Rattus norvegicus: one gene and its partners. The protein of the gene in region 3 interacts with the protein of the main gene of each other region in a pairwise test. Links are inferred from orthologs where the notes say so. Each region holds a gene or a part of one and is shown on either strand. Other genes may lie near its edges.

Region 1 (4,339 bases), on a different chromosome or scaffold from region 3:
AAAAAAGGGTTTTATGACTTTACTGAAATCACTCCACTTTCAAATGTTGGAATCAGGATTTGAAGTCAAAACCCTCGACTCCTCAATTCCTGGGCTCTTCATTTTACCCAGGCTACCAATCCCTCTACCCGTTCTCTACTTTTTACCAGTGTCTGCTTCACAACTGCCCAGGTAAACCATGACTATTGGAAAAATAAATCCACCCAAACAGCTCTCCCACCTGATTTCTTATTTTGAGATTTCAAAATCCAGGACTTTACCATGACCAGCCCATGTCCAGAGCATGCCTGCAAATTCACAAAAGCAAGGTCTGGACCCCAGAGTAAAGTTATGAGGAGAAAGGCCCTCATTGGCTAGATTACACTCTCAATGAATTACAGGTAACTGCTCAAGCTTGAATTTATTTGGTTTTTCTTGTTGTTGTTGTTGTTTGTTTTCAGTTTACATTTGGTTTGGTTTGATTAGAATATAGAAAGCGTCCTTTAAAAAAAAGGGACATTTCCAATTCCAAGGATAAGTCCACCCTCTAAATGGGTATTTTTATGTGTTAAGCTATGAAAACCAAGGAAAATGCTTTGTTTTCTAGCTGAACACTAGAACTTTAACAGAAAAAAAAATTTTTTTTAATTCCCATTGATATCAATTTTATCTTCTTTCCATTTCTCCTCACTTTTTCCCTAGACTATGCTCTAATCAACAGCCACTTCAAGTTTAGCATATCACAGTTAATGCAATTAAATCCGAAAGCTGTTTCCCTAAAGATGTTCCCTCTCTTCACATTCCTCTGGGCCTTCCAACCACAAGCATAAACTCGTCTCTAAGCTTCAAATCAAATTTCTGATGAATAGATGGGAGTTATTCTCTTGTAGTGAATGCAATGTGTCTACATCAACAGCATCCCCTTAACAATAAAATATGGCTGTGTATTAGACTTCATTTATTCACACCTGACAGAATTCTGATCACTTGAATTTCTTTAGAAGAAAATTCAATCTATAGAAACAGCCCAATTATTTTAAATCCTATCATGTAATGTCAAGAGAATCAAATGAAAAATTCCATCAGTACCAAACCATCTCACCAAAGAATGAATATTTATTACATTTCCATAGTTCCTGTCTTCTCTCTGTTTACATAAAGCGGCAGTGCCAAGACTCATCTCAGGATTATTAGCCAGCAATACAATGATGGGCCCAAATGCCTTGCAAACCAGGACACCAATAAATGGAGTCTTCAAGCAATCAATTTTATTGGGGGGAGGTGGGGCTTGCTAACCTCTTTCTGCACACACATACCTTGCCTGCCTAGAAAATAAATTCAGTCTTCCTATTCGTTAATCACTTCTCAAGCAAGAAGGCACCCTTAACAACCTCAAGTTCATCAGAGTCCTTTTAAATTCCGAATTCTAGGACTAGTTTCAGTGTACCAAGGGGGGGGGGGGGAGGAGAAAGCAGAGACAGTTTCACCTTCTCCCACCTTTCCTTTAAGAGTGGATCTCCCCTCTAACCCCCAACTTTCCCTTTTAGACATAGGAACTGCAAGACTCCCCACTCTCCTTTAATTCTACCTTAAATGGTTCTCTCAAAACTTTACCCTGGGGGCTGCTATTTCCAGACAATTCCAACATAAAACAAAAAGGTCAAACTGACAGCATAAGATATCCTCTAGGAGAATCTTTAATGTTCCTTCTCTGTCCCCGGTGAAGACCCTTCTAATGGCCTTGTTATTGTCTCTCACCACAGCAGCCCGATGTAAATGTTCTAACCCCTAAACCTCTGGTGTGTCGAAGGACATCTTAGTCCTTCCTTTCCTAAATAAACCAACCCACTCCATGGGAGACATTAGGTCTCCCAGGCCTTAAATTTACCCTCTGCCACCTCACCGCAGGTAACCAGCTCATCACAGACATGACTTCTGCGAGACTGGTAGCGAGATACTATCCCTAACCCTGCTCCACACCTGCCACAGTTCTTCTAGTTGAGTCCAGCTGAGTAGTTTCACATACCCCCTACCTCCAACTTATGCTCAGGGGAGCCACCTTGCTCCCTCCAGAGACTCTAAACTCATCCTAAATCCTTCCCCACTGAGCCCTCATCCCCAATTTCAATCCCTGTCTTCCTGTTTGGGGCCCAACTTGCAATTCCCTCCCTCCTGTCAGCTTACCTCACCCATCTCCAGTAATTGGAAATCTCATCACTCCCAGCCCAAATTCAAACCTCCAGCAGCCTACCTCAAGAAAACCCCAAACAAATTCTACCTCTTCTGTTCTCTCCAAGCCCAAGCTATTTCTGTAAGTAGTCATAAATTCCACCATCCCCAGAAGACAACAGCCCACTTCAAGCTCGGGTCTCAACCCATGCCAAACCCCTCACCCCCAGCTCCTACCATCTCCATCTTCCTTCCCCAAGTCCCACCTTCCAAAATTAGCACTCCCCAGAGTCCCATCCAATGTTTATATCTCACTGGCATTGAAATCATCTCCTTAGCCCCCACCCCGTTCTGATCCCAAGCTGTCAACTGCTTCAGGCCAACCCCAAATCATCACCTTCATTCAGTCCCCTCCCCCATTAAAACACATCCCACTCCAATCTCACCTTCCACCTCGCCCCAAGACAATCCCAAATTCCACCTCGGTACCCCACACACCCATGCTCCTATCCCAGGTCTGGTTATCCCTCCATGTAAAGTCGTCCCCCCTCACCCATCCACCCCCCGCTACCCTCCCCTGACCTGCTGGTGTCCCACCCTCACCCCACCCCCAGCCCGCGTACGGACAAGTCTCCCCCACCAGCCCGCCGTTCCATCGCCACCTCGGTCCCCTCCCCCCAGCCGGCGCGGGGGCCCTACGGCCCCCACCCTCGTTCTCCCCGGCGCCACCAGCCCAGGCTCCACGGGAGCGGGCCGGGGGCCAAGGGGGTCTCCTCACCGGCGAGCTGCTGCAGACGAAAACCGCGGCGGCGGCAGCAGAAGCGGCGATGCCCTTGTCTTCTCTGAAGGCTACAGCGGCGACGCTCTCGTTCCCTCGTCCGTGTCCAGTAGGGTGGTGGATGGCGCGCAGGGACCGGAGCCTCCTCCTCCTTCTCTTCAGCTACTCGGATCTGAATCCTCTGCAGTAGCCGCGGAGAAACCCGACAGTGGGGGAAGGGGACGCTCGGTTGCAGGCAAGAGAGGAGGAGGCGGAGGGAGGGGGCGGGGGACCGCTGAGAAGGGCGGGGGAGGAGGAGTCGGCGCGCTGTCCCGACACGTCCCACAGCCTCAGAGCTCTTGGACTACAACTCCCGGTGTGCTCTGCTGCGGCCCTGCGCGGCCTGGATCTCCCAACCCTGCGCCGGTCCTGGACCGCACCCTCTTGGGTCACAGACAAGGGAATGAAGCCGACTCCCACGGGATTTTGTAAACTCAAAGACCTCTTAAGAGAGAAGTCGGATATTTCTGCAGCCTCATCTCCATGAAGTAAAACTCTCTACGTCTCCAACCTACACTTGCAACCCCTTCCGCCCGAGGGACTACACCTCCCAGCATGCCGCACACAGCTTCCCATTCCCTCCTTCCGGACCCCTCTCAGACACGGTACTACAGTTCCCAGGAGTGTGATCCTTGCGAAATGCTGGGACATGCAGTTCTCAGTCCTTCCTCCATGTTAAGAAAAAAGAAGTGAAAGGGAGAAAAGGGGGAAGGACTATTCCAACCCACTGAGCTTGGGCCTAGATTGGCTACCTCACCTGTAATTCTGTACTCTTCTCGCGATCTCCGTTTGTCACTGTCTCGCTAGAACTAATGCAGCAGCTGCTTCACTGGCATCCCTGAAAATCAGAGGACGATTCTCCAAATTGAATCTTCCTGTAAAAAGGACATTTGTTTACATTTACATTACTTAATAAGTATTTAATTTGCAAAGATGATCGAAATTTTTAGAAAACAATGCCCACGGTTATTATAGGAGGTTGTTGAATATGAGTTGAGGAGAATGTAGACATTCATCGATAGGGGGCTGATTTAATAAATAGTGATGCATACATTCAACGTAATGCTAAGCAGCCATTTAAAATGATGGTAAATATCTTTAGACATGAAAGGTTTTTCACAATTTCTTGTCATCTTGTCAGAGGGGCAAACTGATTGCAAAAACAGCATGATTAGACAGCTTCAATTTATTTGAAGTTCGAGAATATAAAAGCATAAGGATTTCAGGAAAGAGATTCTCCAAAATGTAACCAGCGACTATCTTTGAGAGAGGATAGTTAGGTTTCAAGTTTCCCTTATCTTTATATTGCCTGAATTGTTTAAGGAGCACACACCATTTTTTTAAAACCTGAAGAGCTATTTCATATACATATAC
Region 2 (3,838 bases), on a different chromosome or scaffold from region 3:
TGTGCATGTAGCCGCACTGGTGCTGCCCGGGCTACCCCCAAGTTCATCATACACGTTCTTCCAGAGGCGGCGGCCTGTCACCTGTAAGACACCAAAGACGGGCCATTGAGTACCCTCTGGCCACAGAACCCTCTCAGCTCCAGGCTCCCCTCGCAGGGAGAGGATGAGAGCTGAATTTGGGGGGTTCTTTCTCCAGCTGTGCCAGTGGAGGGTGGAACAGTGGATAGGAGGAAACCTGCTTAGAGATACAAAGTGCACAGTCGCTCATCCCACAGCACACAGGCAGGGCCTGGGTGTTCTGATCTTCCTCCAGTCTGCAGGCAAGGACAGCCCTGCCAACCACCCTGCTCCTGCTAGGGGTATGGCTGAGGCTGGAGCTCAGGAAGGGACTTGAGAGTCTTCCTTACCAGCTCATAGGCCCCCAGCTTCTCCACTGCCTTGTAGATCTTCCACAGGTTAACTGCAGGGAAGAGGCAAGGCAGACTGTCAGGCTCTACAACCCCACACTCCCAGGCAGGACCGCTGTTATACATGGGGCAGGCTGGCAGATGGCCAGGAGGATGGGAACCCAACTCCACCCCTGGCCTTCAGGGAGGCACTGTCCTCATAGGCAACCCTTATAGGCTGGTGGCATCCAGGGTCACCTGGAGCAGAGGTGCCTTGCCTGCTGTCTTGCCTGGGGGGATCCCCTGGCTGCCCCCTATATCTACCCCCCTGCACCCTTTCCCCCTGGGACGCACTCTGCTTGAAGCCAAGATGGGGCACCCTCTCGATGGGCGTGTGTCGCTCCTTCATGAACTTGTAGAGGCTGACCAGGAAGGCCTGTTCTTCCTCCTGCTCCCCACCTGCCTTAGGGGAGTCCTAGGGAGAGAGCAGGAGGCATGGATGGGCCCCATTGATGGGCAGCTGGACACTGGAAAACCACGGCTGTGGGAAGGACTAAGTGCCTAGGTCCCGACTGTGGGCTACCTGGGAGCACCAAGCCTACTGTCCCGGGTCACACAAGTGCAACCCAGACTTAGCGCCCAGGTTCATGTCAATGGCTGGAATCCAGAGCTCCAGAGTCCTGGAAGTGGCCACAGGGCCAGCCCTCAGCCCTCCAGGCCAGGGCCACTTTTATATCTTGCTATGATCTGTTTTATCCAACTCAGCTCTCAGAAGGCAGGGTCAGTGTTCCTAAACCATATGGTAAAAGCCAAATGCACACCAGGCAGTGGTGGCGCACACCTTTAATCCCAGCACTGAGGAGGCAGAAGCAGGCAGATCTGTGTGAGTTTAAGGCCAGACTGATCTACGGAGAGAATTCCAGGACAGCCAGGGCTACACAGAGATACCCTGCCCCAAAATCCAAAGTTCTAAATGCACAAAGGCACTCAGTGTTTCCTGGTACCAAGCGGCCTACAGCCTGTAGCTTCCCGCTATCAGTTTGACAAATGGGTGGGAATAGGCCTTAGTGCCTCAGACGTATGTTCGTCCATTTCGTGACTGAGTCCAGGTTGTTAGATTATCAGAGTTCCACTACAACTCCGGGTGAGGTCCTGCCTTGCCTAGCACCCATATCCTGCACCTTCCAATGTGGGGCCCCAGGCAGCCCTGCCAGATGAGGTAGACACCTGTCTCCCTCTCCGAGCTTGGGGTGTCTCAGGTTCCCTGGAGGCTGGGCCCAGTGGGAAGAGGTCCCAGGATTTGTCCAACTCACCTCAAGCTGGATGGGGCTCTGGCTCTTGCTCTGCTCATCTTGAGGCTTGGGGGACACAGGGGGCTCCTGGAGGTCACCTTCCTCTGATTGCTCCGCTTTCCCCTTAGCCGAAGGTGCTGCTGGGAAAGGGGAACAGAAGAGGAGAGGCAAGTGAGATGTGGGTAGGAGGGACTGTGGGGAGGGGGCTGAGGGATGGGCCTTCACATCAGCCAGGGAAGGGGTGAGTGCTCTGTGCTGGTCAGTGCCACACTGAGCTGTTCCTCTAAGCAGCACACATGTGCACGTACACACGCACGCTTGCACAGACACACTGGCTCACCCTGGACTATCAGCCATTCTCTATTCTTTTTTTATTTTAAGATTTATTGTATATAAGTACACTGTAGCTGTCTTCATACACACCAGAAGAAGGCATCAGATCTCATTACAGATGGTTGTGAGCCACCATGTGGTTGCTGGGAATCGAACTCAGGACCTCTGGAAGAGCAATCAGTGCTCTTAACCGCTGAGCCATCTCTCCAGCCCAGCCATTCTCTATTCTTACCTCCATTTTAATCACTCCCCTACGTCTCTGCAGGAAACCCTCAGCCTCCTCATTACTGTCCAGGATCAAACCAGAGGAGTCTGGGTAGGATTGGGGACACTCTCTCTCTCTCAAATCTGCCCAAGTTCAGGGAGAAAGCACTAGAGTAGCTCGGCTGAATGTCATCAAGGCTTCATCCTTGATGTCACCCTACTGCTCTTAGGCCCTCAATAACAAGGTTCTTGATGGCCGTTCAAAGCAGACATAATCCCTCCCTCTGGGTAGCCTTGGCTAGCCCCAGCTAACTCCAGCACTCCTGTGTCCTTCCTTGTCCTGTCCGTCATGACTGAACTGCAAACTGCCCAAACCCATGAGTCCCCTGGCCCCTGGTCAAGACAGCTGCTAGATAAAGGAATGATAGAGGTTCTTGGCTTGTGATGATGACCCGGGGGAAGTCACATGTGCCACCGTGTACTGAAAGCTGTGGCCTGGGCAGGAGGTTGCAAAAGCAACACAGATTGGCCACTGCAATACACACACACACACACACACACACACACACACACACACACATATATATACACATATACATATCTATATCTATCTATATCTATCTATCTATCTATCTATATCAGGTGATGAGGCAAGTTGCCATCAGATTTGGACCAAAATTTTTAATTAATTATTTAATTAATTAAGGTAATGTCTCACTGTGTAGCCCTGGCTGGCCTAAAACATAGAGCAATCCTCCTGTCTCTGCCTTCTGAAGGATGGGGTGACAGGCATTATATGATACTGTATGGGGTGGTTCTGATGCTCTGATCAGAAATCTGCGTGTGAACCCTGAAGGTCCTGTTCTCCAATTGGTTCTTGATTGATCAATTACGATGCTACTGGCTACTGGCTGGGCGGAAGAGGCAGGGCTTCCAGATTCCCTGCAGGTGGGCTAGCAGATACAGGAGAGGAGAAAAGATTTGCCATGCTTCAGAGGGGGGAAGAGCCAATAGCCATGTGAGGTCTCAGGTGGGTAGGGTGACCATTGGCCTAGACTGGGCCTAGGGTAGCAGGCAGGAGATTAGAGACACAACTAATTTGAGGGCAGATTTAGGGTGTTGAGCTGGGAGTGAAAAGAAGGGTGTGGTAGTCGAGGAAGGCTTAGAGTCCAGCTGTTAAAAATAAGCTAATGTGTGTGTGTGTTTGTGTTTCATCTGCGGATCCGAGGTGGCTCCTGGGTGAGGGCTGGTAGCTCAGTCTGCCCTGAGCTTAAAGGGAGGTATAGAAACTACATGCTACATGATACCATGTCCAATTAAAGGGCTGGGTGTCCCAGAACTCGCTCTGCAGACCAGGTCAACGGCTGGAATCCAGAGCTCCAGAGTTGTGCCAGCCCAAGGCCTGGAAGTGGCCACAGAGGCAGCCCTCAGTCCTCCAGGCCAGGGCTACTGCTTTGATCTGTTTTATCCAACTCAGTTCCTGGAAGTCAGGGTCATCACACCCTGTCTGACAACTTTCCCTTTTCTTTTGTTAATCTGGTACAATGGGACCAACTCTTGGTTTGATCCAGCTCAGAGAACCCTTGTCGAAGGAAGCTGAAAGATTTTCCTGTCAGGAAGGGC
Region 3 (4,509 bases):
ATGATACTGATTTAATCCGAATCAAACTAATAATATAAACACATAAAGGGAATTTTTAAAATAACCTAAAAGAGTTCCCAAGCAGCCTTTATTTAGTGCAGCCTATACATGCTCTATGTGTCTACAGGAAAGCAAAATGGAAATCCTGATCCCGGAACCTGGAAGGCAGAACACAAAACTTGAGTCTGTAACCTGCCCTCGAGATCAGTTTTTCTTTTCTTCTCAAATGTTTATTTTTGTGTCTGCGTGAACCTACGACACGCATGCGCAGGTGGTCCCCAGGATGAACCAGATCAGCCTCTGGAAGAGCATAAGTGTTCTTGACCACTGAGCCTCCCCACCAGCCCCATCAGTGTTCTGTTGGAGAAGCAGGGATGCTCAGATAAGCCCGCTTGCCTCTCGGGCTGCTGTGTGGGACTGGATGAAACTGCATTTACAGGACGCCTTGCAAACTGTGATAGTCACCTGACACACAAGCAAGGCCTTCTTGGTGTTGGACGAATCCAGAATCCGTTCACCGAGGGCCTCTCGCTCCAGAGCCTCTCCGTCTCCTTGAGCGCGCACAACACAACTTCTGCAGACAGCTGCGTCGGTTCCTCACTCTGTGCGTGCCCATGAGGAAACGGGAAAAGTGTAATCACGGTCCTAAGAGACGTCGCCTCTACCCTTCAGGACAACTGGGAGTGGGCTAAGGCACACACAACGTCTGTAGGAGACTACAGGCCCCCTTAGGACGTGCCAGGCCAGGGTCAGCCTGCGCGGGGCACGGTCCATCTCAGGGCAGGAGCTTGATGCGGTGTCATGGTTTGTATCAGGGCGCCAAGCAGGGCGCGGGGACACGGTCTACCTCCGCACGGATCCGGGCGCGGGGGCAAGGTCACCGACCCCGGGCGCTGGACCGTCAATAGGAGGCCTGGAAGAACCGGAACGCGGGACAGGCTAGGATCTGAGGTCCAGAGGTGGCTCAGAGCAAGGGCGCCGCCCTAAGACAAGCCCTCTACGAACTTCAGGGCCCGGTGTGAGGGGTGGGCGGGGCACTGGTGAAGGCGGGGCATGCGGGGAGGAAGGGCTCGCGGTGAGGAGGAGGTGCGCGGTGAGGGCGGGGCCACGCAGGGAGGGCAAGGAGGGCGGGGCTACACGATGAGGGCGGGGAGCGCGGTCAGGGCGGGGCCACGCAGGTATGAGGGGCACGGGGTGAGGTGGGGCCGCGCAGGGAGAGCGGGGACCCCGGGGAGCGTGGGGAGGGCGGAGTCACGCAGGAATGAGGAGCTTGGGGTGAGGGCGGGACCACTCAGGGAGGGCGGAGTCACGCAGGGAGGGCGGGGCATGCGGTGAGGGAGGGGAGCGCGGTTTGGGCGGGGCCGCGCGGGAGAGCGGTGTGGGCGAGGAGGGCGGGGCCACGCAGAGGATAGCGGGCACCGGGTGAGGCGAGGCCGCGCAGGAAGAGCGGGGAACCCGGGGAGCGCGAGGAGGGCGGAGCCACGCAGGAAGGGCAGGGCATGAGTTGAGCCTAAAGCGCGAGGTGAGGGGGAAACCGCGCAGGGAGGGCGGGGCCGCGCGGGAAGGAGCTGCGCGAGGTGAGAGCAGAGCGCGCAGGGAGGGCGGGGCACCCGAGAAAGGCGGGGCTGTAAGCGCCCTCCTTGCAGCGACTGGCGGGCCTGCGAGGGGGCGGGGTTTCCGGCGGCAGTGCACTCGGGCATCGACTGACGCAGAGTGGACGGGCGTCACGTGACACGGAAGTGACTCCGAACAGGAAGAGGACGAGAAAAATAACCGTCCGCGACGCCGAGTGGAAGTGGATTAGAGCCACCATGAACAGCAAAGGCAAGGCCGGGAAGCGGCGGAGGTCGTCGGGGACGCGGGCGGGTTCGGGTCGAGTGGGCCCGGGGGCGGCGGGCTCGGGGCGGTCAGGGCCGCTCTCCTCAGCAGGCCGCGGAGCGGGGCCGCACCTGACGTGTCCGCCCCCCCTCCCCCACACACCGCAGCAACTCGGCTCTCCGGGCCCCGGCCCCATAAACTCTGTGGCGCAGTTTGGAGCCGCGGGCTCCAGTGTGTGAGGTGGGGGTGTTTTTCCGTGACTGACACCGGCTGGAGCGAATGGGGAGCTAGAGCAGGGATTTGGGTAGGCCAATGGAGGACCGGCAGAGGCGGGGCGCCGCGCTTCGGAACAACAGGCCTTGGCCGAGCTTAACTCGTGAGGTGCCGGCTCTGCTGCCCAGTCCCGGCCTTCAAGGATCCTTTCCCGCCTGCCTTCGACTTTTCGCGCTCCCTCCTCAGGGCCAGGATTTATAGTCGTGCCTGTGCTAATGTTTGTCAGACCATGGTCGCGTTTACCTCCCGCCCCCAGCCGCCGCCCTTCTCATGGTTAACTTCCATTCACTCACTCTTTGGAAGTCGACCTTGAGTAGGAACCAACCCGTGAGGTAACACGCAGAACCGTGGGTTCCACAGAGTCTGCACTGGTTACCGCACAGTCCGTGGGAGACTACCCGGACTAGAAGTCCCCCCAAAACACCAGCAATCCAGAATCCCCGGCACGGGTTCTCAGACCTGTCCTTTATTTGGGAGGGAACGGGGCCAAGTTACACTTGATTCCTCCATCAGTATGCTAGTGGGAACAGCGCCTTCTGCCCAGTCAGAACCCAGCACCTTCCACTGTGAGGGTGCAGAGACAATCTTTTATTTTCTTGGCTCTAAGAGCTAAGGCCCTGTGGGGCAATCTGTTTGCAATTCTTCTGCTTGAGCTCACCAAGTTAACTGCCCGTTTTACAAATTTTTTTTATTGTCTGTGAATGTGAGGGTAGGTGCCCACAAAGACAGAAGCTAGAGTTGAAAAGAGGTTGTGTCAGATGTGGATGCTGGGAACAGAACTTGGGTCCTCAGGAAGAGTGGCATTTTGTCAGGAGCATCTTTCCTATTTGCCACCTCCCTAATTTGATAGACAACATCTCTCTTCCCCTTTTGTATTCCAGGTCAATATCCAACACAGCCTACCTACCCTGTGCAGCCTCCTGGGAATCCAGTATATCCTCAGACCTTACATCTTCCTCAGGCTCCACCCTATACTGATGCTCCACCTGCATACTCAGAGGTACTGCACTTTGCTAGACTTTTAACTATTTGAATACACTCTTGGACCCCTCCCCCATTGTTAAATCTTCAAATTCAGAAGCAGAGAATGCTCTATGAACCGTCTAAAACATAAGTTAATAATTACCATTGGAATTGAACGCATTATCTGCTTGTTATTTGACATGCTGAGTTAGGCTGAGTTTGGGTCCCTTGAGCCCAGTAGTAGCTGTGGATGCAAATGACCCAGAAACTGTGTGCCAGTGACAGTAACCAGTGTGATCCACACACACAAGAACTGAGAATGGACTCATGAGCCATGCGTGGTGGTAAGACCAGTAGTCTCAGCACACGGAAGGCTCAGGCAGGAGGAGCTTGAGGTCAAGACTGTCTTGGGCTATAGAACCAAACCCCATTTCCAAAACAAAACAAGGGGCTGGGGATGTAGTTGATTTGGTAGAGTGCTTGCTTAGCATGCACCAAGCCCTGGATTTGGTCTCCAGCCCAATGTGAGCTGGATTTGGTGGTGCAGGCTTTTATTTCCATCAGTCAAGAGGTCAAGGCAGGAGAGTCAGGAGTTGAAGGTCATCCACTCCTACATTCTTGCAGGCTAGCCTGAAGTACAGGAGATGGTCTCAGCAATACTTAGAGGAATTTCAAATACCAGTGTCACAGAAATATTTTGCCTTCTCTTCTGCTTCTTTTAGCTCTATCGTCCAAGCTTTGTTCATCCAGGGGCTGCCACAGTCCCCACCATGTCAGCTGCATTTCCTGGCGCCTCGTTGTATCTGCCTATGGCCCAGTCTGTGGCTGTTGGGCCTTTAGGCTCCACGATCCCCATGGCTTATTACCCAGTTGGTCCCATCTATCCACCTGGCTCGGCAGTGCTGGTGGAAGGAGGGTACGATGCAGGTGCCAGATTTGGAGCTGGTGCCACCACTGGCAGCATTCCTGTGAGTATGCCTAACCAAGAGCTCAGCCCTCGTGCACTTGAACCGTCTGAAATGACTTCATACTCATTCTCCTACCATCCCAGGGTAGTAGTAGTCAGGACTGGCACAGCTGCTGCCCTCTCATGACAGAAATGTGGCTGGGCCAATCAGGGCATTGGGCACAGTCCTTAGAGTTAATCAGATTCATTTGTCTTCTTTTTTCTTTTTTTTCAGAGCTGGGGACCGAACCCAGGGCCTTGCGCTTGCTAGGCAAGCGCTCTACCACTGAGTTAAATCCCCAACCCCTCATTTGTTTTCTTGTCCTATTAAAATCCTGCTAGCGGGCTAGAGAGATGGCTCAGTGGTTGAGAGCACTGACTGCTCTTCCAGAGGTCCTGAGTTCAAATCCTAGTAACCACATGGTGGCTCACAAACCATCTGTAATGGGATCTGATGACCTCTTCTGGTGTGTCTGAAGACAGTGACTGTGTACTCACAGACATGAAAT
Region 4 (3,838 bases), on a different chromosome or scaffold from region 3:
AGTCTGCTGATCTGGTGACAACCTAGTCCAGTTCAAATACTGCAGGGCCCTGGAACCCTGTGAACTTACCCTCCCTTTCCTTTGGAAAACGCTGCCCTTTGTCCCTGCAGGGAGATTTGTCATAGGCAGAAGGCCCAAGTTCTGTCTGTCAGGGCTGTTTTCAGGATATGTGTGGGTGGATTTCATTCCCAAGTCCTGTACTATCTTCCCTCGCTCAGCTGGCGTAAGGGCTAAGTTTAATAAAGACTAATGAGTCACTCCATTCTGACTGTGTGGAACCCTCAGACCCCACACAGATGAACCACAGCAGCTCTGTGCTGTCCTAGATCCAAAGCAATGCTCACTCTGAGCACCAGCAAGCAGGGACCATATAGGCAAAGCCCCATCCAGGATCTCATATTCCCTCTTGCCCTATGGACTGGCCATCCCTACTGCCTTAGCCTTTGAATTCCTTGGGATAGCAGGACTACATGGTTTGCTTGGACTCCAGTTTCCTGAACCCTAGCAGAGAACAGGGGTCCTGAAGGCCTGCCCTGGTGTCTACTCTCAGAGCCACAGTCTTTCCTGTTGGCTAAGAAAGCAGGTGTGTGATCTCATCTGGCTTGCCCTACTCTGGTAGGAAGGCCAACTGGACACCAGGTACTGTGAAATCCACAGGAAGGTTAAAAATTAAAAAAATATATAAAAGCCACATCTTGACTTTACGACTCAAGCAGGTATTAATTTACATGGGTAAATACTTTCAACGAAAGCCATGATTTAAGATGTAGTATGCCTTGTCTAACAGGAACCAGATTTTCTTATTCCTACAACTCATACATGAAAATATTCCTAGACAACGTTTCTACACCTCTAAAAATTTCAACTCACCTTACTTGTGGCAAAAACAGAGCAAACACTACTTCCTATGTATACAAAAATAATTCAAATATGACACTGGAGTAGGTTTTAGAAGGTCTTCATTTAAAATAGCCATGCTTACACAATTCTACACTACTCAAGCTTCATAGGAATGCTGGGCCCCTCCCTCCTCCTGTCCTACTTTGTCCCTGGGATGCCTACCAAAGAAGCAGTACACACCTGCAATGGGCACATAGCCAACACCCTGCTGGTACACAGTTGGCATCAGAACCACAGGCTGAGGCGGCATCATCATGGCAGCTGGAAGGGACTGAAACACAACAAAGAAAAACATGGGTGTCAAGGAGGACCATACCATATGTCAATCTTGTTACTTCTGGTATCATAGGGCTAGTCCTAGCCACAGCCCAGACAGCAACACCCAAGACATGGAATCCTCAGCAAGAATGTAGTGTCCATGGCCACTGGTTTCATCTGCACCACTCCTGCAGACCTCCTCCCTTCAGCTGGAAGACTTGGGCTGCAGACTCAGAACTACAGCTCAGTTAGGAAAGTGCTTGGTGCACAAGCATGAGGACATGAGTTCAATCCCCGGCACCCATATATAAAGCTATGTTTATGTGTGTGTGTGTGTGTGTGTGTGTGTGTGTGTGTGTGTGTGTGTGACACATATCTATAATCCTAGGACGAGAGAGGCAGAGACAAGAAGATCCCTCAAGTTCATTAGCCAGCCAATCTAGTGAATGGAATGAGTTTCAGTTTCAGTGAGAACAAGAGTCAAGGTGAAGACCAAAGAAAACAAATGATGTCAACCACTGGCTCACACGAGCTACAACCACACCACTTCTCACACAGGACTTACAAAGCTCCCTTCAGGGTCCATTTTGGAGACTGCATCAGTATCAGTAGCTTCTCTCGGAAATGCTGAACTGCTTTGTTTTATTTAACATATCTTAGTGTTTTGTGTGCCTATATGTGTGTGCATTATGTGTGTGCCTGATGCCAGTGAAGGTTAGATTAGGGTATTGGATCCCCTGGAATTGGAGTTACAGTTGGTTGTCAGCCACCATGAAGGTACTGGGAATCACAAGAGCAGCAGTGCTCTTAACCTGTTGAGTCACCTCTCCTGCCCCAGCTCAAATAATCTTGAACTGTAGATGAGCGAGTATACAATGGACCTATGCTACATAAAGCACCTGTTAAAGATGGGTGACACTCCACACCAGGAGAGGCATGTAGGATGGTAAAGCGGAGGAGGCCTGCATACCGGGTGCTTTATACTCCCCTGTTCTCAAAGGCTCAAGAACAACTAAAAGGAAAGGCCCAGATAATACAAAGGAGACAGTGGGAAACCAGACCCCCAGCCCTGCCTCCCATGACTTCCCAAGGTTCTGGGAGCCATAGCTATCTCAAGGAGGTGCCAGACCCTCTTTGAGAATGGCCTCGCCAGACAGTGAACTCACCGTATAGGACATGACCAGGTTAATCATGCCCTCCTTGTCGTCGCCCTGCCTCCCACTCAGGCTATACCACTCGTCCTCCACTTGGCCCTGCTTCAGGGACTCGGGGATAGTGATGTGGGTCCAAGCTATGCGGTCGTCCATGGAGAAGGCTCGCTGAGGAAGACAAGAGTAAAATGACCTCATTATGGCCCTCAACGACCCATGTTATAGAGACCAGCTTTTCCTAAGGCTGTGCTTGGACTGCCGCCTGCATCTACCTTCTGTGTTCTTGGCAGGACAGGGTTCCTCTCACTGCTCCAGCTTCCTCCAAGGAGCTTCCCATTAAACCACAATCCCAGACATCCAGGTGACCTGTACCTGGCCACCACTACTTCTGCATCTTCTGAGTAACCACCATAAGGTCAGGCCAAAGGACAATAAAGAAATCTCTTGGCTGCCATCCTTGCTCAGGGATGGACACTGTCCTCTGCAGTCCTTGTGGCCCTAACTAATCAACTAGATAGAAGCTGTAAGTCTCAAGCCCAGTAGGTACAGACAAGGACAAGAGCTGCCAGCCCATCCATAGCCCAACCCTCCTTCCCATATCCCTACTCTTCACAGACGCTGAAGAAGAAAGCAGAGGAAGGGGGTAAAGACAAATGAGTGGCTGCGTCCCCCTCGCTGGACTACCCATGCCCACTTCCTTTCTGGCTCTCACCGTCCCCATTCTCTTCCCACTGCCCTTTGCTCTGTTTCAAGGAGGCAAGCACATGGTCTCCAGAACTAAGCTGCGAGAAGACATCTTCAGCCACCTGAGTTTCCTGACTGCCCTCAAAAAGTTGCACACCTAACTGCTGGTATGGCCATGGGACATTAGTGTCAGAGCCTGGAACTGAGGCCTGCAAGAACAGTGTTCCCCTCACTGAGGGTGCTGACTTATTTGTAATTCGACTTATCCATGAACATCTATCTTCACACTCTACTCATGCTTCTATCACTGGTGATGGCTCCTAATGGACACTGTCAAAGAAACTGTACTTTGTCATTCAGCCACTAAATGCCAGGTGTCCAGGCAGGTTACACCCTGTCACTAGTCACTAAATGCTAGGTACAAAGGTCCTGAGCACCAGTAGAACAGCCTCATGACTACAACCACAAGGCACATGCAGCACACCCATGGCTGCCAGATCCCAAACTTGGCAACTCTGTAACATTGGAGCATCTCTCACCTCATCGAAGATCTCAAGGTAGAACGAGTCCACACCTGGGGGCACTGTGCACTGAATAACCTTGTTCCATCGAGGGTTCTTGGCGCCATTGTGTGCTGTGGGAGTTTCATAAACAGCATAGCCCAGACGCAGGCGGCAGTAAGGGTCCATACGAGTCATGCCATAATTCTTTGCCAATTTGGCCTGAAATAACACCAAATTTAGAAAAATGAGGCATCCACCAGCAGAAACAAAAGCCAGTGCTTATGTAAACTGCTTTCCTTACAGGTATTTCCTAGTGTGTGAAAAAACAGTCTTCAAGTTCAC
Region 5 (4,294 bases), on a different chromosome or scaffold from region 3:
ATATTAAGTAAGAAAACACAAAATAATTGCAGCAGAAATTACACAGAAGAATGTGGACAGTTACCAGTACCCAAAGGGAAGCTGTGTCTCTCAAATCTAAATTATGCTTAAGTCAATATACTCTTTGGAGTTTTCAGTGATTAAACACACATTTAATCCTTCTAAGATTCTTTTCAGACAATTCAAAGCCCAATTAATTTATATTGTCGTGTACTATTCTTGGGTATGTTCACCAAACAATAACCTGATGGAAATAACAACAAAAACAACAACAAAAGAAAACAATTAAATGCTGGTTGATGTTATAAAAACATTCATCTTCCGAGCAAACTGCCAGTGAACATAAGCAATGTTCTAAGAGCCAAGCCACAGAAATCATGAGAGATCTCCTGCCAATAAGTACCCTAGGCATAACAATTAGTAGTGCTACCGCGAGGAATTATGTGGGGCTTTTTAAAATTGGCAACATTATGATCATCTATAGAACACATTTAAAATTGCTAAGCGCATGTGCTTTTCTCTTTTTACACAAGTTGATTATTTCATGACTCTCTTAAGTCATATTCATCTGCAATACATAGAATGAAAATATGAAAAACACCTAAACCCATTCTTTTTGCATATTTTTAAACCTAATGTCCTAAGACAGAACGTTAGTTTTGCAGGTACATTTTTTTTTCAATATCTGAGAGGCCCTGAGTCAATGGTAGCTATCCATGACTCTGTGAGCCATACACGAAACGGCCAGACTGGCAAACTCCTTAGCTAAAAGGGCTTCCCACAGTATGCCCTGGCCTGACCTGTTTGCACACTCACATCTCTCTTCATGATAACCACTTATATCTACTCCTTAACCACAAAATACCTTTTAGTACGAAGTAACTACTGGGCATCTTGTGCTAACTGGAAATTCTTTCAGAGGGAAAGAACTGATGGCCTAATTTAAATCCTTGGCCTCTTAGAAAAGCTTCAAGCTTTAGTCTCACCCTGGAGAACTAAAACCTAGGCATCCCATTGTCCTTCGTGGAATCACAGGCTGGACGCTATGACACTGCAATGAGTACTAGAAGAAAAGGAAGGAAACAAGGAAGCTAAAGACTGTCCTTTATGCTAATAGTAAAGATCCTCTCTGTGTGCATGAAAGAAAACCCACTTTCCTTGCTTAAGGCTGAGCCTTCAGAAGTAAGCTACTACGACTATTAAGAGCCCATTCTGCTTTCTGTGCGTGTGTTACCTATGCTAATATCAGCTTTATTAAGGTGGAAACATTTGGTGCATTTACCCCTGGCTGCAAAGCAAATATGACCGCCAATGAAGTACCTAAAAACGGACTCCAGGAATTGCCTCAAAATGGTTAATAAATCATAGTTGAAGCTAATGTTATCGCCACTCAACAAAGATAGCATCGATGTGGATTACCTAAAGGTTTGTCCTTTAATTCTGGATTGGAGATCATCTCTACTTGGGCATAAAAACAATCCAGGTCCACATGTACTATGACTCTGGACGAAGCGATTCGTGATGGTGCCCCTTGATCGCAAACTGCTGCACGATACACAAAGGAAAACAAGCATATTCAGGCTGCTAATCGTCAAAGAGCAACTAGCACATCCTTCAAACGTTTTACCTAGAAAAGAACATATAGTGGCTTTGACATTTCCCTCCCCCCTTGGATTTATGAAGTAGCCAATCCCCACTTTTAATAAGCTCTACGGTACCTACAAATCAAAAAGACATGAAACACCATCAACAAAAAGGTCTTCAGTCCTGCTCAATTAACTTAATTGACTATAAGTTCTCCAGCTACTTTTTCTTCTGACTAGTTAATTTAAGGGGGAACTCTTGATCGATAACGGATGGCACAAAACCCAGTACTATTTTAGGGTCTTGAGAAGCTTTTAAACAGTAGAGGCAAAGAAACTGTAGCAATGTTATTTTCAACCAACTTGAGAACTACTCAAAGTGGCCTGTTCCTACATTTAAAAACAAAACAAAACAAAACAACCCAACCTGTGGGTTCCAAGACACTAAATTAAGTCCCCACAAGAGTTAATATTTCCTGTTTTAAAGTCCCCAGTGCCTACAACAGTGTCTGAGGTGCAACAGAAATCGAATAATTTAAGCACTGAATTAAAAAACTGAGTATCTAATTTTAAAAACCGGGGTCAGGGCTGCACCTGAATGAAGCCATCAGGCCAGTGAGTAAACAGTAGTTTATGAGTCCAACAGGAAGCAACAGGGACAGTTTCCTTCCTTAGTTACAAAGCAGGCTAAATGAAACCCTGGGCTAGGAAAAGCACATTTGTGGGGAAACTGAGAAAATCTGAGCATATAGTGTCTTCCAGTAAACGAGGATTGGTTGTGTACAGACTTTAATATATGTACCAAGGAGATGTAAAATGCTGATATAAAAGAAACCTGTCTGCCACAACTTTTCTGTTAACCGGAGGTGGGATGTGTCAGGGAATGGGTACCCAGCGCTGATTCTGGCGCCACAAGGCTGGTCCACAGGCTGGGGTGGAAGTGGGTCACCTAGGGAATCCAGCCTGCTTGCTAGGTTCAGGCCATCCTTTCCAACACAGGCAGAGGCCAGGTTTCTAGGCATAAATGGGTGACAAAAATCCTCCTATTCTCTGATTTGGGGCCGCCGGAAGCAGCAGGGGTCCCCACGGGAGGTCAGAGAAGGCCTGCCCGCCCTGGAGACAAGTGCACCCCACCGGTGTGCGCAGGAATGCAGCCATCACCCCAGTCTTCAGCAGCCAACGCAGTGCCCGCACTCTCCAGGCCCGAGCGGGACCAGAAGGCCGCGACCCAACGACCGCCCCGGGCACCCGCCCTTCACATCCTTCCTCCCTTCCCGCCATCACCCGGAGGGCGCGCACCCCGCGAGCCGCCCGCAGCCCCCGAGTCCGAGGGCTCCATGGCACGAGAAAAGTCTTCTTCCTCCGCAGGGCCGCCTTCCTCCTCCGGCTCCACCCCCATCTTCCCTTCGGGCCAACCGCAGCGCAGCTGCTGCACGGTCTCCTAGGAAACCACGGCCCAGCCTCCAGCCTCGCGCCTGCGCACTGAAGCAAAACAGCCTGAGTGGCAGTGGCGGGGAGAATAGGGAAGGACCTGATTGTGGTCGGTAGGTGGAGTAGGAAGAACCCGAATGCTCCTCTTTCTCTCTTTAATCTTTTTTTTTTAAACGTGTATATGAGAGCTTATGCTGTGTGAGTGCAAGTGCCGGCAAAAGCCAGAAAAGAGCGTTGGATCCCCAGGAACTGAAGTTAACTGGAATTAACTGGGGTTTGTGAGCCCCGGGTGGCTTCTGGGAACTGCTCTTGAGTTCCACGAAGAGCAACAAGCATTCTCACCCCTGAGACATCTCTTCAACCCCATTCCTTCCTTTTATTTATTCAGTTTTCCCTGAGGGCTCCAGTGTTCGGCTCATGTAAAAAAATAATAATAATAATAATAATAACGTTTTAAATATATTCTCTTTCCGATGATTATTAACAAAACCGCTAATCCCTAAACCTGAGTGATTTGTTTTGATGGGATTGGGGAAAGGGTATAGATTGTATTAAGATCAAGATGCCCACGTAAAAGACGTGATTAGCAAAGATGTTGAGGTTTGTTGAGGTCTGTTTGTTTTATTTAGAGAGACTGTGTTGCATTGAACCCCTGAGTGGTTTGTAAAAAAAATAATAATAGTGCTTTGACACACTAGCTTTGGGTCATAAAATCACCATTTCAGACTGGTTTTGCTGACATTATGACTCCGAGTATGTTATGTAACCGCTCTGAACCTGTACTGTAAAGACAAAACAGCATTCACTTAATTACATAAATGGAGAAGAAATAACGTAGTTTAGTATTTTGATGTCTGTAAAGCACTTAGCACATTAGCAGCTCACTGTGTCCATGCCTTCTCTAGGGGTGCTTTTGTGCCGGTATGTCAATATTTGATTCTGTGAGCTTCTTCTGATACCTTTCTCTCCCTATCTTGGTGGAGTAGAACATACTGATTGTTGAGAGAAAAATGTCACACTTCACTTCCTGTTGCTTTGATAACCACCATGACTAAAAGCAACAAGGACAGAAAAGGGTTTATTTGGGTAATACGCAGCCTGCTTCCTTCTACCGCCCAAAACCAACCCCTCAGGGGCTGCACTGCCTACAGTAGGTTGGGCTCTCCCACATCAATCATTAACCAAGGAAATGCCGCTCAGACATACCTATTAGTCAGTCTGTTGGAGGCATTTTCTCACTTGAGATTCCCTCTTCCCAGGTGACTCTACCTTGTTTCAAG
Region 6 (2,809 bases), on a different chromosome or scaffold from region 3:
AGTGCAGCTCACTACCAGATATTGATTCTTCAAAGATTAAGAAGCTTCCCATCATTGTCTCTAACCTGGGTGTCTCTAAGCTATAAAGTAGACATCTAAGATGATTTGATACAGGGGATTTATTGCTTCGCTTAACAGAATCTCAGACTCTCAAAGGATGTGTGTACCTTCTCTATTACTTAATGCTCCAGAGTCCTTAAAGAGGGGACATGGTGCTAAACTCTGCAATCGGTATTCCCTGGGAGACAGATCACAGTGAGTTTCATCTACACTAACACAGAATACCTGTGGAAGTTTCTCCTGTACTGGTTTACTTGGAGAAAGGCCGGGACAGTGAGATAAAAGGGGGAGGCCAAACAATGTATGCCTGACATGAGAGACGTCAGACTCATAAAATCCCTCCTTCTCCTTCGCTGTCTCACTCCTGTCCAGCTTCCATGCCAAAATAATTCACAACACAAGAAAAGCCAAGAGAAGCAACTCTTTTCGGGAACAGTAACCACCCTCTTGCTAACTTATCACACAAGATCAAGGATTATTTGCCTCTTCACAACTCCTAAGTCTAAGTCATTAAAATTAAACCTGCTTCCCTTCCCCACTGAATGTATCAGAAAATATGCACATACCAAGAAAGGAAACTCCACTCAAGGAATGAAATGCTGTGCAAGCTCAGACAAATTTATTGAGAATTTGACAGACACGTCCACACCTTCACCATGACAGGGAATCATGAAAGTCTTGACATATTCAAAAGCAACACGTGCTATAGTGGTTGCCAAGCTTCTGGAAAAGTCCCAATAGAGAGCATCCAGGAAAGGCAGAGTAAGGCATCAACTAGATGTTCAGTTCCTTTGTTGGAGACAAAGCAGCTTCTTGGGAGAGGTTGATGAGCAAAGGATAAAAGGAGGTGAAGCTGGAACCGGGAGGCACCATGGAGCCTTCATGAAGAGATGGATCTGTGCCTAGGGGATCACAGCAAATCAGTAGAGAGCAAATGGCCAGTATCTTCTGTAAGCCCCACAGCCATTGTAGCCGTAGCCAAGGCCATAGCCAACTGGAGAGTAGGTGCTACCATAGCCACAGCCAACACTGTAACCCAGTGGGTAGCCGTAGCTGCCCCAGTAGCATCCTGGGAAGACAGAGCCCTCAAAGTCGGTGTAGTACATGATGTCAGGAGTGGAAGGCTTAGGTAGGAGAGGAGTGAGTGTGATGGATTCTGTAGTCTCAGGCGGCCTTTATATACCCTGACTGAGAGGTGTGGCTTAAGAAAACACAGGGCCCTCATTTTCATTCTTGAGACCAATTTGCACTACACAAAGCTCGTTAATTTGCTGTGCTCTTGCCTAAGAGTCTATGAGAAAGCTCTTTGTGATACAATGCAAGGAGACGATTCCATCAAACAAGTTATGTGCCTTCCAAAATGGGTTATTACAGGGACTTCAAAAGCGCTTGGTCTCGCAGACCCTATATATAATTTCAGTTAGCAGGCTTTGTAACGCCAAGAAAGAGTCCGATGTTGTTAGATCTAATCCAGTCATCACCTGCTCTGAATTTACACAAGCACAGTTAGAATCAGTAGATGTGTGTTGGACTTTAAGTCAAATAGTAAGCTATGAGTTTGTCTCAGAATCTGAGTCTCTCTTACCATTTGCTGGATTTAAGAATTCTTTCTTTATTGACTTTTTTTTTAGTGTGTAAGATACTTACCAGAGACCTCCCCCATTTATAAGCTAATCTGTGTGGGAAACTAACCTGTGTGGAAAAGTTAATTGGTTAAAACCCCATCAGAATCATATCTAGTAGTACATGTCTATACATGTCTATACCACCCCTGCAATTAAAAAATCTGCGACATCAAAGTATCGTTTGTTGATAAATCCCAATGCTAATGCCATACCAGTGTGATTCGTTGATCTAATACACTATTTCAGGCAATATTTAAAGTAGCAACATGGCAAACAATAAAAATGATAGAAATCTTTATCCTAAAATGAAGACTACTTTTCTATTAGATCAAGTGAGAGCATTTTATCTGAAAAATATAATTTTTATGACGCATCAAATGATACTATGAACTCATTATCATATTTTTTAAAAAGCCATAAACTGAACATCTTTTGAATTTCAAGTAATTGTTAGATGCTAGAGATTGTAAAAGTGAGTGAGAAATGGTAGCTACCTTGGAAATGATCAATGAATGAAATATATGTTATCCGTTTCATTTTTAGAATGGTTATTTGCCCTAGAATGGGAAGCCTAGATCAGTCTCCTTTGAGTGGAGATTTAGTACACAAATAGGAATTGGAGGACGATTAGAGTTATCAAAGCTGTCTTGGACCATATATGATGTAATATCATTCTCCCAAAACCTTCAGGGAGCCTTCCTTTCATGGAACTTTATATGGGACTTACAAAAGTACCACAGATGAGGGCACATGGCATGAAATAGAAAACAAAGTATGATCAAGCCAGACAATACAAACCAGAAACCTGTTACACACCAGCCCTCAGACTTTACTTAACATCCCAGACGTGATTTTATTCTATCAACAGCCAAGGGGGCATATGTTGATTCCAAGGACAAAATGAGCCTCTGAGAAACTCAAAGCTATGCCAGTGTTCTAACCACTAATTGTTTAATTACAGCAAAAACAATTCTGAAAACACAGAGTTGCCCCACCACCCCGCTTCATAAACAGGGTGCTGCCTATGCTGATTCAGAACTTAAAATTCAAACTCTTCATGTGATGTACTACCAAAGGGGATCAGAAAATTGCCCTTAGCTTCATTCATAAAGGTAAAGATACTA
Region 7 (4,370 bases), about 130 Mb from region 3:
AGGGTCATGACCTTGGCCTGATTTCGGAATTGGGCGTTCTGCTCCAGAAGTACCTCATTGGTGGCCAGCAGGTTGCTGACCTGCTTCTTCAGTTCTTCCACACGTTTCCTGAGCAGAGCATTCTCCTCCTCGAGCAGTCTGCACTCCACTCCACGGAGCGGAGCCAAGTTACATTCATAGGACTCAAAATGGGGGCCATCAGGAGGGCAGCAGCCACCTCTCCGGCGCTTAGGGCCCGGTTCATGGTCCTCAAAGCCCCTTTCCGGAAGGTCATAGATGTCATAGAGATCATGCCGTCGTCCTGGGGGAGCAGAGCCTGTCGAGCCTCCACCTCCAGTGCCTCCTCCACCTCGAGCCTCAAACTCAAAATCTCTTTGCAGGTGACGAAACTTGCACTTGGTTCCTCTCTGACAGTCACCTTTGAGGAAGTCACGGCAGATAGGGACCTCCTCCTTACCATTGGGTAGGTCAGCAGGTGAGAGACCCAGCCCAGCTGCCACTTTCTGCCTCAGCCGAGGAGGCAGCTCTCCTGTTTTCTTATAGCCATCCTCATCCTCCTTGGAGCCATGGATGAAGCGGCAGTTGGGACGGCTACACTCCTTGTTTTGGAAGTCATGGCAGAAGATAAATTCGTTTTTGCTTACCCCCAAATTGGATACCTCACTCATGTCTGGGTGGCGGTATCGACAACGCTTGCCTCGCTTGCAGACATTCCTCAGGAAGTCTCTACAGATGGCATCTGAGGTGGCCCCCCCACTGCCTGTCCCTGCTCCACTGGCCTCCTCACTGCTACCACCTCCAGGGCCTGCACCGCTGCTCCCAGTGCCGTTGGCATAGCTGTCCCGGTCAGGCATCCTGGTTCCCCCCAGCTCAGGGTCTTGTTTCTTCTCTCGCCACTCTTGGTGACTGTTAAAAAAGAGAGAGAGAACGGTGTCAAACAGGTCCTCCAGAAGCCCCCAGTCCTCTGGGGCAGTGGCTCTGGAGATGGAGAGCCCAAGGAGAAGCCCAGCCGGCCCAGCTGCCTTGCCAGAGCCCCGCCTAGGCCCTTGTGCACCTGGTCTCATTTGGAGTGATTCACACTTGCCTGGCTAACAGAAGAGGGAGAGAGCTGGGCTGAAGCCACTTCTCTTACTAACATGAGCCGGGGAGGGGGAGGGGGGCAGTGTGAGGTTTTACCTTCTCTCTTCTAAGTCGTGGGAGAGAAACTAAAGCAGGTGTTGGTGTGTGAACACTGGGCTATTTTGCTCTGAGAACTCGTGGATGAAGGGACACCAGAAACAGAACTTCCCTTAATCCCTCTTCAATGTGAACTCAGCAAGTCTCCATGAATTGTAGAAACCCTTGGTAAAAAGACTGGTGTCACTAGTTACAGGGTCATCCTTAAACCTGTTCATCTCCCAGTCTGTTCCACACACAAACACCCTCATTTCGGGGAAGAAGCTCTGACCTGAACTTTCTACTTCTAGATCCTAGGACAAACTGTGGGATGCTCAAGGTGGGAAGGGGTTAATTTCACAGGAACGGTGACCTTTCTTTCCCCATTCTCCACCCCACTGCACTCCGACTAATATCAAACCATAGCACTCCTTACCCCATACAAATCCTCTTTATTTATAGACTCTATAAAAGCTTTTTAAGTCTCCTGTTTCTCAAGAGAGGTCTGGAATGTAGATCCACTGCCCTAATTCTAGCCCTCCCTTCTCTCTACCCCTAAGTAAGACTGGGAGTCCCTGCTAACACGTGTCTAATCTTCTAAATGTTCCCTAAATACTCAGGCTCCCCCTACAGGTCAAATAGGAGAGGTTCATAGTTTCCGTTTGGGAATAAAGGTACCTTTCTTGATTTCTTTGACCTATCCCATTCACACCCGTTTCCTTGACTTTGCCTTTAGATTTCCCTAAAATAACTAACAAGATTAGAAGCCAGAGATACACAAGAATATGCAAGATGGGAAGAGCAGACCCAGAGTAAAAGAAACAAGTGGTTAAAAACAAGCCCTTACTGAAAGAAAAATGACGACCGGGTGAAGACTAAATACCTCCAGAGCCTCACCTATATTTCAAGTCCCACCAGAAGCAGGTAACTGGATATGATAATCTTCCTCACCCCATTATCCCAGAATTAATACCTGAGGTAGCTCAGGTGAAGTCCGGGGCTCCCGTGAGTCTCCACCTCCACATCACTGCTGGGTTCTGAACAAGAAAGAAACAAAAAACCTGGAGATTTGAGTAGAACAAGGAAAACAACGTGAAAGGGCTACGAGGTGGTTTTCATACACTGAAATGAATTCTAATAAAAAGTGGCTTTTAGGCTCCCTTAAGAGTTCAAAGTGCCAGTCACCTATCATAGGGAGAAGTCCCTAATAAAGATAGGGCTAGGACCGACCAATAAAGATTGGGAAGCTGAACTGAAAAACAAAATAGTTTCTGGTGGCAGAAGGGTTCGGGGAGCTTTACCTCAAGATGAGAAGGATATGGGGTTCAGAAGGTTGGATTTCGGAACGCCAAACCTGAAAGCTGGACAAGGGCAACAACTGACTACTGTCAGTGGGAAGGCGATCTAAGACTTGGGGGCGGTGATTACGACGGTCCCCAACACCCTAGAGTTCACGAAAAGTCCTACGAGTTCCCCTGGAAGTCTTCTGGCTTGGCCGGCTCCGTGATGCGGCGCCAGCACTGAGCCGGGGACCAGGTGACTAGGACACTAAGGAAGCGAAGTGAAAGGGGAGGGGGGCTAAGGGTGACATCAAGCTGAGGGGATGGGCAGGGCTGTGACGTCACGGAGCTGGCGTTTGCTCGGGAAGCGAGGTCAATCAGAAAAAGGGCTCTGTTCTGGGTAACCAGGAAAAGCCAAGCCAGGTCGGTTCGGGGGGGGGGGGTTGTTGGAGGAGGCTCGTGGGGCCCGGCAGAGCCCAGCCGATGGGCCATCCCCGACTCCTCCCCTCCGGGCGCGGCCTCCACCTAAGTCTCCCGCCTCCCTCACCTGCCGCCGCCGCCGTAGTTGCTGCTGCCGCCTGCCGGTCCTCTAGCTTCGACAAAGAGCCGCCCACCCTACGGCTCTTCCGCTTCCTGCGGAAGAAAGGGACGCTCTAGCCACCAGACCCGGAAACACACTCTATGGTCCCATTGCGTGCTCTTAACCGCAGGAAGCTCCCAGCAAGCCTTGCGCGTCACCATGGTAACACGACTCCTCCGCACCCGGAACTCGCACAGCGTCAACTTCTACGCAGGGGCCCCCCAAAACATAGAAGTGGCACTGCGAATGCACGAACTCTAACTTAAACTCAGGCGCACACTAAATCAACTGGCTCCAGCCAGATCGCAAACACCCGGGCTCTTGTTGCCTACACTGGACTACACAACTCCCCACCCAAAGGAGCCGCAAAAAACACGTAACAGCGATTTGATTCTTCAGCTGACAGCAAGAGGGTTTATTGTACACGAGTTACACTTGGCCACAAGAGAACAGAACTAGTCCAGAATGCCAAAGGTCCAGGGCAGAGGGCCAGCGGGACTGTTTTGGTTGTGAGGAAGGTAGTCATTTTCCCAGCTGATCTCGGCGAGGTGACATTCCGGGTCTACTGAGACTTATTACCGACAGCAGCATACAGTCCAACCACTTGTTCCGGGCTTCAGCATCCCTTACTTCTGCTCCCGCAGGCTTCGTGGGTGCACAAGATGGTTTACTTGGACCTCTGCCTCATCTTTCTTCTCTTGCGCTTCAGCCTGGAAAGGCAGGCACACAAACCGAGTTAATTTTTTCCCCTTCCCACATTTACCATCTGCACTTCGTACAAAATACGATGAAATTAAACAACACCAGCTCCGATGAACCGTGCTTAAACGTCCCTCCACGCCAAACATTTTCACATTAAGTTTCTTCTAAACATCCCACCCCAAGCTTTGCCCCTTTGCCCCAATGTTAAGTCAAAAAATTAACGTACCTGCGCATTCTCTTCTTCCGCCACTAAAAGCCCGATCATGTGAGAAGACAAAAAAGAATGTTAGCAGTAGGCCCGGGTAAGAACATTACTCAGAAAACAGGTTTGACAAAGAATCAAGAGTTGGTGCGGCACTGGCTCAATTTTAGATCCGAATCTTGTTTTCCCACCTTCCTCCAGCTACGACTTAAGCCTGTACTCGGCTCTGTGAAAACCCGAAGCAAACCGTTTGCAAACCCGATGAAGAACCATGGCGGAGATTCACTGCCTGATTTTCCGCCTCACAATTCCTTCCTACCGCCCAAGCTCACCACTTATGAACCGCTCACCTTCGCTCTCATGGCGCAGGAGTCTCTAGAAAGAAAGGGAAGAAATTGCCGTTAGTCTGCTGTGATGAGAGTAAATGTGGAGGTCGGATGTTAATGGATTG

What was found.
Region 1: the proteins of Dazap2 (region 3) and Fam168a interact in binary tests that used the Homo sapiens proteins (3 or more experiments, as listed by UniProt). The two-hybrid records come from large-scale screens. The link is inferred for Rattus norvegicus from reciprocal best matches to the Homo sapiens genes DAZAP2 and FAM168A.
Region 2: the proteins of Dazap2 (region 3) and Arid5a interact in binary tests that used the Homo sapiens proteins (3 or more experiments, as listed by UniProt). The two-hybrid records come from large-scale screens. The link is inferred for Rattus norvegicus from reciprocal best matches to the Homo sapiens genes DAZAP2 and ARID5A.
Region 4: the proteins of Dazap2 (region 3) and Tollip interact in binary tests that used the Homo sapiens proteins (3 or more experiments, as listed by UniProt). The two-hybrid records come from large-scale screens. The link is inferred for Rattus norvegicus from reciprocal best matches to the Homo sapiens genes DAZAP2 and TOLLIP.
Region 5: the proteins of Dazap2 (region 3) and Poli interact in binary tests that used the Homo sapiens proteins (3 or more experiments, as listed by UniProt). The two-hybrid records come from large-scale screens. The link is inferred for Rattus norvegicus from reciprocal best matches to the Homo sapiens genes DAZAP2 and POLI.
Region 6: the proteins of Dazap2 (region 3) and Krtap8-1 interact in binary tests that used the Homo sapiens proteins (3 or more experiments, as listed by UniProt). The two-hybrid records come from large-scale screens. The link is inferred for Rattus norvegicus from reciprocal best matches to the Homo sapiens genes DAZAP2 and KRTAP8-1.
Region 7: the proteins of Dazap2 (region 3) and Zc3h10 interact in binary tests that used the Homo sapiens proteins (3 or more experiments, as listed by UniProt). The two-hybrid records come from large-scale screens. The link is inferred for Rattus norvegicus from reciprocal best matches to the Homo sapiens genes DAZAP2 and ZC3H10.

Annotation. Positions count from the first base shown.
Region 1 is NC_086019.1:164,468,246-164,472,584, reverse strand, and holds the start of Fam168a (protein FAM168A), read right to left. Parts: upstream 3,139-4,339; 5' UTR 2,927-3,138; intron 1-2,926.
Region 2 is NC_086027.1:46,036,765-46,040,602, reverse strand, and holds part of Arid5a (AT-rich interactive domain-containing protein 5A), read right to left. Parts: intron 1,819-3,838; coding exon 1,700-1,818; intron 862-1,699; coding exon 741-861; intron 461-740; coding exon 408-460; intron 82-407; coding exon 1-81. UniProt on the Homo sapiens protein: DNA-binding protein that may regulate transcription and act as a repressor by binding to AT-rich stretches in the promoter region of target genes.
Region 3 is NC_086025.1:133,592,125-133,596,633, forward strand, and holds the start of Dazap2 (DAZ-associated protein 2), read left to right. Parts: upstream 1-1,412; 5' UTR 1,413-1,522; intron 1,523-1,577; exon of another isoform or gene 1,578-1,646; 5' UTR 1,647-1,811; coding exon 1,812-1,824; intron 1,825-2,972; coding exon 2,973-3,091; intron 3,092-3,776; coding exon 3,777-4,022; intron 4,023-4,509. UniProt on the Homo sapiens protein: In unstressed cells, promotes SIAH1-mediated polyubiquitination and degradation of the serine/threonine-protein kinase HIPK2, probably by acting as a loading factor that potentiates complex formation between HIPK2 and ubiquitin ligase SIAH1.
Region 4 is NC_086019.1:206,398,393-206,402,230, forward strand, and holds part of Tollip (toll-interacting protein), read right to left. Parts: intron 3,716-3,838; coding exon 3,533-3,715; intron 2,478-3,532; coding exon 2,325-2,477; intron 1,172-2,324; coding exon 1,081-1,171; intron 1-1,080. UniProt on the Homo sapiens protein: Component of the signaling pathway of IL-1 and Toll-like receptors. Inhibits cell activation by microbial products. Recruits IRAK1 to the IL-1 receptor complex. Inhibits IRAK1 phosphorylation and kinase activity.
Region 5 is NC_086036.1:66,406,701-66,410,994, forward strand, and holds the start of Poli (DNA polymerase iota), read right to left. Parts: upstream 3,017-4,294; 5' UTR 2,983-3,016; coding exon 2,883-2,982; intron 2,868-2,882; exon of another isoform or gene 2,718-2,867; intron 1,546-2,717; coding exon 1,420-1,545; intron 1-1,419. UniProt on the Homo sapiens protein: Error-prone DNA polymerase specifically involved in DNA repair. Plays an important role in translesion synthesis, where the normal high-fidelity DNA polymerases cannot proceed and DNA synthesis stalls. Favors Hoogsteen base-pairing in the active site.
Region 6 is NC_086029.1:42,203,353-42,206,161, forward strand, and holds Krtap8-1 (keratin associated protein 8-1), read right to left. Parts: upstream 1,212-2,809; 5' UTR 1,167-1,211; coding exon 981-1,166; 3' UTR 654-980; downstream 1-653. UniProt on the Homo sapiens protein: In the hair cortex, hair keratin intermediate filaments are embedded in an interfilamentous matrix, consisting of hair keratin-associated proteins (KRTAP), which are essential for the formation of a rigid and resistant hair shaft through their extensive disulfide bond cross-linking with abundant cysteine residues of hair keratins.
Region 7 is NC_086025.1:1,559,016-1,563,385, forward strand, and holds the start of Zc3h10 (zinc finger CCCH domain-containing protein 10), read right to left. Parts: upstream 3,027-4,370; 5' UTR 2,983-3,026; intron 2,598-2,982; exon of another isoform or gene 2,457-2,597; intron 2,217-2,456; exon of another isoform or gene 2,193-2,216; 5' UTR 2,129-2,192; exon of another isoform or gene 2,053-2,128; intron 1,893-2,052; exon of another isoform or gene 1,177-1,892; intron 907-1,176; 5' UTR 855-906; coding exon 1-854. Other genes in the region: Rpl41 (small ribosomal subunit protein eS32), read right to left, coding at 3,683-3,725, 3,944-3,966, 4,270-4,281. UniProt on the Homo sapiens protein: Specific regulator of miRNA biogenesis. Binds, via the C3H1-type zinc finger domains, to the binding motif 5'-GCAGCGC-3' on microRNA pri-MIR143 and negatively regulates the processing to mature microRNA.